Arabidopsis thaliana: one gene and its partner. The protein of the gene in region 2 interacts with the protein of the main gene of each other region in a pairwise test. Each region holds a gene or a part of one and is shown on either strand. Other genes may lie near its edges. The genes, in order: KAN2 and ULT2.

Region 1 (7,735 bases), on a different chromosome or scaffold from region 2:
ATACATTAGAATTATTCTATTTTTCTCTTTAATGTCTTTTACTTTTTCCCTATCATATATTCAATGAACTTTTGTGGTACGTCGTCCATATAGTATATTTCAAGAACAAGTCCCAAAATTTATACTTTGGACCTAAAAACATATACAAGATTTGTTTTACGAGAATAAAGAGATATGGTTTGCTTTATTGTATAAGTTAATTATCTTTTCGAAAAGCTTATGGTGATAGACAGTTCATATGCTTTCTACCTACTCTAAAACCTTAAGGCCAATCATAAAGGTAATCATTAATCATATATTATCTATCATTCACGTCCATTTCTTTTCTTAACAAAACTGATTAACATTTCTTTTTGTATAAAAAAAGTAGATATTCTTCTTACAACTTTACCCATTCCTTTAATATGTTTGCTTTCTTTCATTCATGTCCTCTTTTGTCATTCTTTCTTTTACACCTTTTTCTCTCTTTTCTTTTTTTCTTTCTACTTTTTTTTCTTTCTCTTTTACGTCTTTCCTTTTTCTCTATTATTATTCTTTATCTATATATATTTTTTTTTGGCAAATCTTTATCTATATTTATATATCTTTATTATCAGATTGTAAAATAAAAGTTCAACCAAAGAGTACTGAACATTTATTGTGCCTCTAATAGTTGATTCTTTCACTAGCTCTTCTCAATAGAGAAGGAAAAAGAACAGTGTGTGTCAAAGTTCCAAGACCAAGATAGGACATTAAGATTTTAAGCTAAAAAAAAAAAAAAACTTATTCAATTGATATGAATATCGAAACTAGTCAGTAGCCAAAATATAAGTTAATTGATACTAATTAATTACTACCTAGCTACAACAATAAATTTAGTGAGATCGACCCAGAGTAAACTCAAGATTTGGCTTGAAAGGGCTTGTTCCCGAGATGCTTGATGAGCTCATCTCTTCTGATGATATTCTCTCATAACTTGAGCACTTTCCATCTAGTTCCTTCTGTTGAAATTAAACCCCAAAAAGAAATCATTAACCAACTAGCTAAATTTTCTATTGTATAAATGGTTTGCATTTTTTTATATGTACTTGTATATGATATCAGCATGTGAATGTAAATAATTTATAAATAAAATATTAAGTGCAGAAATTCACGCAACATTAAGTAAGAGTGATCTCAACATTTAACTAGGGTTTAAGGTTGATATTGTATCATCCATAATTAAGACATTAGTTCTAATTAGATGTAAGCTTACCCTATTTATTGTCCTATGGACTAATGTTTGACATTGACACAAATATATATACATAATTATATTTCTTATTGTTCAATGGAAGCTGCCATGGTTTTGCTTTTGCCCATATTTGCTTATAAGCCAAACATAGATAACCGCACCTCACGGCTTAAGCTTTCACAAGTCACAATATATGCGTGTCAAAGGTCAAAACAAAAACTCATCCTGGTCAATGTCAATGAGATTAGTTTTTTTTTTTTTTTTTCGAATAGTGTCTAAATAGCGAAAATACCTTTTGCTTTTGAAAATTCCTAAAGCAAACTTTAATGAAAGCCCTTTTTGTGGCAGCCCTTTTTAGGATTTCGGGTGACTTAGCAATGAAATGATTTCGACAATGCATAACTAAATTGATAATAGTTCATATGCTACACACAAAACATATTCGCGTATATATAGTTATATTTGTAGAAAGGGATGTATCGTACCTCAGAAGGTAGCATAATTTCTGCAACATTATCGATTAACTTCCCATGCAAACGTGCTTCTCTGCAAAAGCAAACAAAAGTTTGTTATATGAGATATATTTATGATATCCGCTTTACATAAATGAATAAATGAAAATAAACTAACCAAAGAAATAAACAAAAAGAGGAAGAAAGTGAAAAGGAAGATAAGAAATTACAAGACGAAAGAAAACAAAGTGTTTTCCTTTTGGTAATAACAAAGTTATTTTTATCTCTGTCGACTGGCATGGCTGTTTGTTTAACGTAAGCAAAATTGATAACGATTTAATATTATAGTCTGACATATATATTACTTTATTTTAGTATAAAGTTGAGAAATCAATCTTTTCCTCCTGTCCATGTGTTTGCCCATTTGTTCATGTGTTAACCATTTTAAAAGAGCTTTAATTTACTTAAATATCTCTAGATAATTTGAAGTCTAAAGTAGTATATCTATTTTTGTTTTCGTTTTGTTATTGTTAAGTTAGGAAAATAAACTCACTTTATATATATACATTAGATTTATGCATACAAATTTTAGGATTTTACTAAGATTTTCATGTAATGAATCACTTTGGAAATTAGCTTTTTATTTGGGGAAAAGTTTCTTCCACTAATTCGACATATTCATAATATATATAAGTAAGATCATTATATATATATATATATATATATGTGTGTGTGTGTGTTGTTGTGACTGTGGAGAGAGAGCAACACATGATGATTAACCCATCATGTGTTTTGTCTCAACTCGGATCTATTGGGTTTGTGGCTGAGAAAGAGACAAAACAGGACTACAAAGCAGAAACATAAACATTACCCAGTTCTTAACTACGCTAATATAGATATAGAAGCATGCACATGCTTAGCGAGATTCCACATTCCATATAGTTAGTTATATATAGTAACGATGGAAAAATCATCTATATCTAGCTAGGGAAGTATGTATAGATAGACCGTACATATATGTACGTACCCGGAAGAATTGGTCCATAGACCATTTGATTTCTCTAGAGGATTCGTCAATTCCTCGCTATCTCTCGATTTTCTATTCATATCGAACATCCAGTCGTCTGAGTTATTATCTCCTGATGATCCATTTTCATAGACATCAGATTGTCCTGAATAACATTAAGAAGAAAGAAAAAAACAAATTAGGGTTCTATCAGAATCACATTTCAATTAATTATTAAATCATATATATCCAATAATTTGACCCATAAAGAATCTGAATTATTTCTCTAACACTAACCTGACGAAGCTGCTGCTTTGTCGGTTGTCTTCACTGTTCTGTACATCTGATATTATAAAAAAAAAATGTGCATCAATATATAATTAAGAAGAGACCAAAGTAAATGATAATTCGTCTAAATCCGTATATAAAGATTAGAGAGATGCATGTATCGAATTATATGGAAAAGGAAGAAGAGACCAAAGCAAGGAGACCATTGTACTGTTGTCTTCCGACACAGTTGAATAGTACCAACCAATTTTCAAAATAAGAAACATATATACACACACATTTTTATTCTATATATATAATTATATATGCACAGACACATTGGAAGATAAAAAAAAAAACGAGAAGAAAAATATAAAACTGTTCGGACACAGAAGCATTAATTGACATTATTAATGAAGTTTGCGATTTTCATGTACCCATGCATGAATTTATGTGTCTAACCATGGTTAAATTCTAGCCCATTCAACATATGGAGAAGTGGAACCATGGTTAAGTTAATAAACCCTCTCTCTCTCTCTCTCTCACTGTGACTCTGTGTAAGACCAAAACCATTTCATCATTGAGAAATGATGGTGTTTCTTGTACTCTCCCTTTCTGTCTATATTTATTATTATTAAAAAAAAATCCTACTACCTATATATTCATTTAAACTAAGAAATAATCCCTAATTAGATTGTCCTAAGATTTTGTGTTCTTATAGGCATATACAATATCTACATATACATTACAGAAACTATAATCAGGTAATCCTTAATAGATGATAAATATATAAAACATATGATTACGCAGAAACAAAGTCTAAATTTTGGTTTATAACCCAAGAAACAATGGATGATAAGAAACCAAAAGTACTAATGTTTTGATTGATATTCTTAGGAGATTTTTGTTTTTCTAATAATTAGCACAATCACTTACGTAATTTCCCCATCTCTCTATTTCTCTCTCTACCTTTCTATTCTATGTGTGTCAGTAATAGTAATATTGAGTAATTTTTGGTTTACTTGTAACAGGACAAGTTTATTCTTCCAAGACGAAATTTTTTTTTTAGACTTGCAAAAAGAAGACTGTCTATCGTCTATCTATGAGGACCATCAGATCTAACACGAAGAAACGAAGAAGAGGATTTTGAAAAATGTTTTTTTTTTTTTTTTTTTTTTTGTTGTATAAAATATGTATGGAATGTTTATATGCATTTTTCTTTTGTCTGTAACGCAACCAAGGAATGCATTATTGGTATGCAAAATTGGATTTAATTAAGATAAGAATAAAAAAAGGAAGGTTCAGAAGAAAACAAGATTCGATCTCTTCTGACTCGAGTGGAACTCTGATTTAAGGAAGTCACCGAGTCAAATGCATCGATACCCGAGAAGAAGATTATTATTATTAACTAATTACATACTTATTATGTACATTTATCTTTTTCTTCCCATCTAATTATGTACTTAATATGGATGAATTTGTAACAATACTGTTAATCAATTTACCTGTAAATGGGACTTAACATGAGCCAAGGTTAGATCTTTGACATCCATGAGCTCAAGAACTGATTTAGGTGTTGCTCCTAATTAGCAAGTGAATAAAACAAAAACATGTTTAGTTAAAAAGGGTAATTAAGAAATGGAAAAAAGAGATAAGCTTTAAGGTTAAAGGGACATACTTTCATGGCCACCGAGTAATTCAACGGCGTGAACGAACCGGGCATGAAGAGTGGTGGTCCATCGCATCCTAGGAGCTCTCATGCTTCGTTTAGCTGGGAATCTTGGCATGAATCTGGCTCTGTTTAGAGTCTGGTGATGATGATTGTGGTAATTAGGGTTACTAACGCTACTAGTATTAAAGCTATTGTTGTTTCCGGTTAGAGCCGGCGAGGAAGTGGAGGAAGAGGGTATTAGAGACGACGGGTCGAAAGGGAAACATGGCGGTGGCGGACGGTGAGGATGATGATGTGGAGGAGGGTTGTGGTAAAGTGGTATTCCTCTTATTGGTCTTAAGTGAGTATTAAGGTCGTGAGCAAGAAACCCTTGTAAGTGTTGTTGTTGCTGCTGTGTCGGAAATTGGAAAGAGGTCAAGATGTTAGAGCTGTTGCAATTAGGGAGAAGTTGTGGATGATGATGTTGTTGTTGTTGTTGATGATGAGAGATGTTAGAGAGCGAGAGGTCTTGGAATGGATGATTGATTGTTTTTGAGGTGGAATTAGAGACGAGAGAAGATGTTCTTGAATCAAGAGCTCTTCTCCAAAACCCTAAATCGAGTTCTTCATGATCTTCTTGATCTGTTGTTGATCTTCTTCTCTGCCATGTCGATGATGGTTTACTGTTTGGTGGACTTATTTGTAAGGATAAATCGGGCTGAGCAGGAAACAGCTCCATGAAAGAGACCTTTAACTTCTTCTTGAAGAGATTCTTCAGTCGGTTTCCACAGATGATGAACCCTAGTTCTTGTTTTCTTGAATTAGGACAAAGAAGATAAAAAGAGAAAGATATCCTTTTTTATTAAGGGTATAGGGAGGAAAATAGAAAAGGGTATTGAGGATTTGAGGAAGAGATTTCTGGGTTTTGTTGAGAATGTTGTTTATATTGTTTGAGGTTAAGAAGATTTTGCAAAGATTTTTGAGAGATATAGAGGGAGAGAGAAAATCAATGACAAGGTAGTATGTAGTGAATGGTTGTTTCTTTTGTGTGAAGTATATGTGAGAAAATGACACTTGAGTGTGTGTGAGAGAGAGGAGAGAGAAGGTGTTTGTGTGGACATGGGGGGCTAGAGGAACTTAGGTTAAGAAAGGGGGAAGAAAAGCAAAGGGATAAAGAAAATGAAAAGAGAAAAGAGAAAGAAATTGAAAATAAAAAAACAAAAGTGGTAAATGGTAAATAAGGCTTTCTTTTTTCTTTCTTTCTTTGCACTCTTTTGTTTTCTTTGGAGGAGAAAAGTAAATCCTTTATTTGTGTTTTCAAACCATTTTTATTGTTCTTTTCTTAGTCTACATTCCACCTTTTATTTTATCTTTTCACTCCCTTTTTTTTGTTTCTTCACTATAACCAATAAATTTGAATAAATGGAATTTTTAAAAATATATTGGTCTCATAATTAGTGGATTGCTTAAATTGAGGTTAGGCACTTCTATATGGTTTTCTGATTTTGTTCTAATCATTTCTTTAGCGATGGCCGTAAGAGGTTAAGCAAATTAGTGACCTACGAAGTTCTAAGAAAAGTCGAAATGTTCATTTTGTAATAAAGTGATTTTCATATGAAAATTCCTTCGAATGTCTTTTTCTAAACATAAATTAAGTAAAATATTCATCACATGAAGAAGAATAGAAAGGTGAAAACTTTGGAATGGTTTATCTTTAGCATCCCACACGCTCTCTATCCTTTGCTTTTAACTGAAACCCAAGGTTGATTTCTCCTTTTTATACACCCTATATTCATTCCAAAAAGAAGAATAAAATTTTAATAAAGGTTAAATCACAAATATTAAAAAGTAGGAACAAAGAAAAAGATGAAAAGTGAGAGTGAGAAAAAGGAAAAAAAGAGGAACAAAACAAAGTTTGCTTATTTTAGCTTGTATGACTCTCTTTCACATGATTATCACTTTTCTCTTCTCCCTATGTTTTTTTTCCTTGAATTATACCTTAATGATTAAAAACCCTTACCACATGTTTTTTGAATAATCTGTTTCCTCAGAGTGATGTTCAAATCAAGTCCAACATAAACTCTGCAACTGCTACAGTGAATATCTCAATGAACGATAGCGACCAATGTGAATTACTCGAGTACAATTAATAACTGATTCCAAAGTCTCATATATATATATATACGGTATAAACCAGTGTTTGAACCAATCCATTTATTACTAAATACTGCTGAATTGAAAATCTAAAATATTAATAATGTATGAAATAATTCAATTGATTTATTATTATGGTCATTTACCGAAACAAATATTATGTATTACACGTGTTTTATATTATTTACTTCAACACGTTATAATTGAAATTTTAATTTCTCATTAAAAAACTACCTAATATAAAAATAAATATAAATAAAAAGTAAAAAATAGAGTGAAGAAAGTCTCTCAAGTGAGAAACTATGAGAAACCTACGAAGACACTTGTTTATTCTCCATTGATCAAATTTTATTTTATAAGTAAAATCTATTTATATAACTAATATTTATTAAAATACTATTTTTTTTTTGAGAAATCCAAAGAGTATCTCACTGATGGAAATGCTTTTATAGAATATAGACGATTAAAAAAAAAATTGTTTGTTTGGTGTCACATTTGACAAAATGCATGCAAAACAATCAAACTATATACAAATGAAGTTTACATTCGAAACTTCAAATTAATTAGTAGAAATTTGTATCATGTTCATAAAACCAAATTTAATAGCATGTCATACAAAAAGGATTGAAACCTTCTAATTACAGCCAATATTGTTGTTCTTTGTCAAAAGGACAATCAAAATATTTAAAGAAAAAAGTCCAAACCCAATCAAATGCCTAATTTTAAACAATAGTAATTTAGCTATATTGATTTACAAAAAAGTATGAAGAAACCAATAATCACATCACTCACTACATGGAATAAAAGAGAGGTTCATTGAATAACAAAATTTGAATGCTTCAATATTTGATTGACTCTAAAATATTGTCGAAAAGTTATTTGAAGGATACCTGCAAATTTATTACTAGAGATTAAAATAAGGGATGTGTTCAGTTTAACCCATATATTAAATCATCGTGACATAATGGTTAGTAGTGCCGATGACTTAGGCA
Region 2 (4,252 bases):
AAGTCTATGAGCAATGCTCTGCTCTTATAAAAATGACTAGCCATAGAACATGAAGTTTGTAGCAATGCTCTGCTCTCTGCTGTTATCAAGATAAGAACAGAGCATTGTTTGTCTGCTGTACTTTGTGATAGGCAGAGTGATGTTCTGTTTTTACTATCTCATTATCTCTAGGCCATAGAATATGGAAGTCTTTGTAGCAATGATCTGCTCTCTGCTCTTATCAAGATAAGAACAGAGTATTGCTTGTATGGTGTAGTTGTTGTGTACGTTGTAATAGGCAAAGTGATGCCCTGTGTTTAAAATCTCATCTTCGTCTAGGCCATAGAACTTGGAAGTCTTTGTAGCAATCTCTATATTGATATGTGGACTGGACTGAGATATATGACCCACCTTGGTGCAGTTCCTACATATCTCTATGGAGCAGCAGAAAAGGAGCAGTGCACCCTGGATTCGATCAGAAGAAAGCTGGGGTACTTCAAGGCAAACAGGGAGGGACATGAATGGGCAGGTGGGTTTGACCTGGAGATGGTGCCACTGAAGCCAGACGCAGGGCCACAAGAGGTGAGCAAAGCCAAAGGGGTTGTAGCGGTTGGGGCGTGTGGGTGGGTAAGTAACTATAACGTGCCTGTCATGTCAAACGATCTCAAGGCAGTGAGGAGAATAGCGAGGAAGACGAGCGAGAGAGGAGGGGGCTTGGCTTCAGTGCAGACAATGGCGCTGGTGCACGGGGAAGGAGTCATAGAGGTTGCCTGTAACTTGTTGAATCCAAGCCAAGTGGGGGGAGATGAAGTACAGGGACTGATCGAGAGGCTTGGCAGAGAGGAAGGTCTGCTTGTGGGAAAAGGGTATTATACGGACTATACACCTGACCAGATCGTTGAAAGATATATGGACTTGCTCAACAATTCATAAATTTCAAAGTAAAAAAAGTAAAAACAGTATGATGTTGTCATTCTTAGAACGTATTATTACCGACATCGATCATTTATCTTCATTTTGTGTTTAGATGTGATATACATTGCCATGAGTGACAATTGAAATTAGCAAAGATTAAATAAAAAGTGAAATGATAAAATGATGGTACGTTCATTGAGAGGCCAAAACATCAGATCTCATCATTGGTGTTTTTCCTCAACAACTGTGAGAGATTTGTTTTGTGTAGCCTCGTCTTTTGCCGTGGTTCTTAAAGCTGTTGTTTTCTTAGCATTTTGCCTTGTTTTGCATATATCTATATGGCAATGCATGCAAGTCATTAACTAATGTATAGTGAACTATTGGTAGCATCGTGACCATGTGGTAATTAACAATCTTTGTCCTTCAAATTTATATATATGGAGGTTGTGGTCTATATGATTTGTTAAAGTGAAAAGACAACTGGTTTTCTATTAATTTGGTCGTAGGTGAAATTCGAGGGTCAAAAGTCTCTAAAAACAACGTGGATGAGGTGGAGTTTGGTGCGGCTCGTTATTGACTTGAGTTCTTCTTGGTCATTTTTTTGGGTTTGCAACAAGGGGAAGGAGGTTAAAAGAACATTTATCTTTTTCTGTTTTATCACTAATTATTGTGTTGTTTTATTTGATATAATCAATCAATAGGTTAAAAGAACAAGAATAAATTAAAAAATTCGTCAAAAACATCAAAACGAGAACTAATTTGAAACACAATTTAACTTCTAAACGACAACTAATTTGAAACGGAAGGAGTATACGTTACATTTAGACAAAAAAAATGTAATTTATGACATGCCTACACACATTGACGTAGACAATTAAAGGTTAGGTGTGTCCTTGTATATGTGTATACATGTACATACATATGTATGGGCACATTGGAGTTGGGCCGCAATGGAGAATAAGGACCAGATGCGACTATCATACACCTAACTCTTAAGAAAAAAAGCATTATTTGTGTACATAAATGGTAGACCCATGAAACCTGTAGAGCTCAAAAGTCACAAGTAAAAGAGAGAAAAGAAAGAAGAGAAGAGGTAATTACATGTGGGTTTAGAGAACAACTTTACTTAATCTCTTCTCTTTTATCATCAACCAACCATATATGGACAATTACAAGAACACATCTATGTATGAACGTTAACGTAGATAATATTATAAAATATTATTCTAAAAATTAAAAGATTCACAATTCCCATGCCTCACGACTTGTATTTTTCTTTGGCCACCTAATTTGCATCCATCATCTCTCTGTCTCTATAGAGAGTTTCTTTCAAATCCCCTAAAACCTAGAAAAACACCAAAGTCTCTCTCTCTTTTTGTTTTACTCCAAAAGCCTTTTACCTTTGAGATTTTTCTATATAATTGTCAGATCCTTCGTTACTACTGATGCTAGCTCCTTTAGGGCTTTTTCTCGTTTACTCATGTCAAATTACCTTCTTGTCCCTTGGTGTTTAGGGCTCTGATCCTATATAATAATACTTCATAGGAAGGAGAAGGAGCCCTTCGTCGTGGTTTACTTGGTCCCGATCGGAGATGGAGAGAGAATGTGGGTCGAAGGAGTTGTTCAGCAAAGAGGAGCTACAAGAAATAAGTGGAGTCCATGTGGGAGACGATTACGTCGAGGTCATGTGTGGCTGCACCAGCCACCGTTACGGAGACGCCGTTGCGAGGCTTAAGATATTTTCAGATGGAGAACTTCAAATCACCTGCCAATGCACTCCTGCTTGTCTCGAAGGTTCCTCTTCTTCTCTCTCACATCTTTCTATATGCATGTTCCATGTGAATGTGTATGGATTCATGATAGTGTCAAGAATGCAATGTAACTGTTCTTTGGCCTCGGTGAACTATGAGGCTGCTTGTATTTGCTAGATGTGATATGTTTCATGCAGTCTTTTAGAGTGTGGGATAACCTTACATTGTAATGTATCTCCATTTTATATCACAAGTTCGAGTTTCTTTCAAAGTGATCTGATTGACAGCTTTCATTCTATGATGGTAGACAAGTTGACGCCTGCTGCCTTCGAGAAGCATTCTGAGAGAGAAACCTCTAGAAACTGGAGGAACAATGTTTGGGTGTTCATTGAAGGAGACAAGGTTCCGCTTTCAAAGACAGTGTTGCTCAGATACTACAACAAAGCATTGAAGAACTCTAACGTATCGAAAGTCATTCATCGGGATGAGTTTGTTGGGTGCAGCACATGCGGGAAGGAGAGGAGGTTCAGATTGAGGAGCAGAGGGGAATGCCGGATGCACCATGATGCAATTGCTGAGCCTAATTGGAAGTGTTGCGATTACCCATACGACAAGATAACATGCGAGGAGGAGGAAGAAAGAGGGAGCAGGAAAGTGTTCAGAGGTTGCACTCGCTCACCGTCCTGCAAAGGCTGCACTTCTTGCGTCTGCTTCGGCTGCAAGCTCTGCCGTTTCTCTGATTGTAACTGCCAGACTTGCCTCGATTTCACCACCAATGCCAAACCCATTTGACTTCATTTCTCTAACTTATTTAATTCTTCTGCAAAAACTTGTAATGTATGCTCTGCATTTTCTTTAATCAGTAGCTTGTTACACCTGTTATGCGAGTGGAGAGACCAAGTAGGGATCACATACTGGAAAAAAAACCGACTTGGGGCTTGGAAAACTAACTTAGCACCACTACGAGGACATGAATCTAATCTAAATTCAACCATATAACCTCGGCAAATACACACAAGGCAGGAGATCGATAACAAGAAGCAAGCAGTGACTGTAATAGTATGCTGAATAAACTATGTCAAGAATAAAAGCATGAGACAAGAGCAGCTACAAACATTTGGATTAGCCAATATGTACTTGGAAGGTGGACGACATACATGGAGAAATACCTCCAACAAAAATTGGTATCCAAACCAGACAAATAGAATGGAAGGAAATAGCTCGAAAGCATATATCAACATACGTAGTGAGACAATGATTTGCTTAAATCCTGTCTGTTTCAAACATAGGATATTATGAAACACAAAACTGTCAAGAATTTATCCATTGCAGACATCATCAGATCTCAAAAGTGATGCAAATTATTTTCAAAATGAAACACAAGACCAGTCACAATCTGCTAAAAGGGAAAACAAAGTGCATGAGAATGAGAGGTCTCTCCATAAAAGGTCTTCCTGGTGACAATGAAACTCATTGTGTACTCTCCACAGGCGTCTGCAAAAAAAACTATGTATAAGGGAAGGAACCCGAAGCCTCTAGGCAATGGAAGAAGAGCAAGAGCTGAAGAGCAAGAGTAAGTACCTCTTTTTTTCCCCCAGTGGCGAGCT

The links.
Region 1: the proteins of ULT2 (region 2) and KAN2 interact in a two-hybrid assay, tested with the Arabidopsis thaliana proteins (one study listed by BioGRID).

Annotation. Positions count from the first base shown.
Region 1 is NC_003070.9:11,625,028-11,632,762, forward strand, and holds KAN2 (Homeodomain-like superfamily protein), read right to left. Parts: upstream 5,719-7,735; 5' UTR 5,329-5,718; coding exon 4,617-5,328; intron 4,547-4,616; exon of another isoform or gene 4,521-4,546; coding exon 4,444-4,520; intron 3,015-4,443; coding exon 2,969-3,014; intron 2,838-2,968; coding exon 2,693-2,837; intron 1,760-2,692; coding exon 1,699-1,759; coding exon of another isoform or gene 1,639-1,698; exon of another isoform or gene 981-1,638; coding exon 855-980; 3' UTR 589-854; downstream 1-588. UniProt on the Arabidopsis thaliana protein: Probable transcription factor that regulates lateral organ polarity. Promotes abaxial cell fate during lateral organd formation. Functions with KAN1 in the specification of polarity of the ovule outer integument.
Region 2 is NC_003071.7:8,965,030-8,969,281, reverse strand, and holds ULT2 (Developmental regulator, ULTRAPETALA), read left to right. Parts: upstream 1-2,038; 5' UTR 2,039-2,486; coding exon 2,487-2,688; intron 2,689-2,952; coding exon 2,953-3,437; 3' UTR 3,438-3,726; downstream 3,727-4,252. Other genes in the region: AT2G20830 (folic acid binding / transferase), read left to right, coding at 401-912; AT2G20820 (uncharacterized protein), read right to left, coding at 4,045-4,139, 4,227-4,252. UniProt on the Arabidopsis thaliana protein: Putative transcription factor that acts as a key negative regulator of cell accumulation in shoot and floral meristems. Negatively regulates the size of the WUSCHEL (WUS)-expressing organizing center in inflorescence meristems.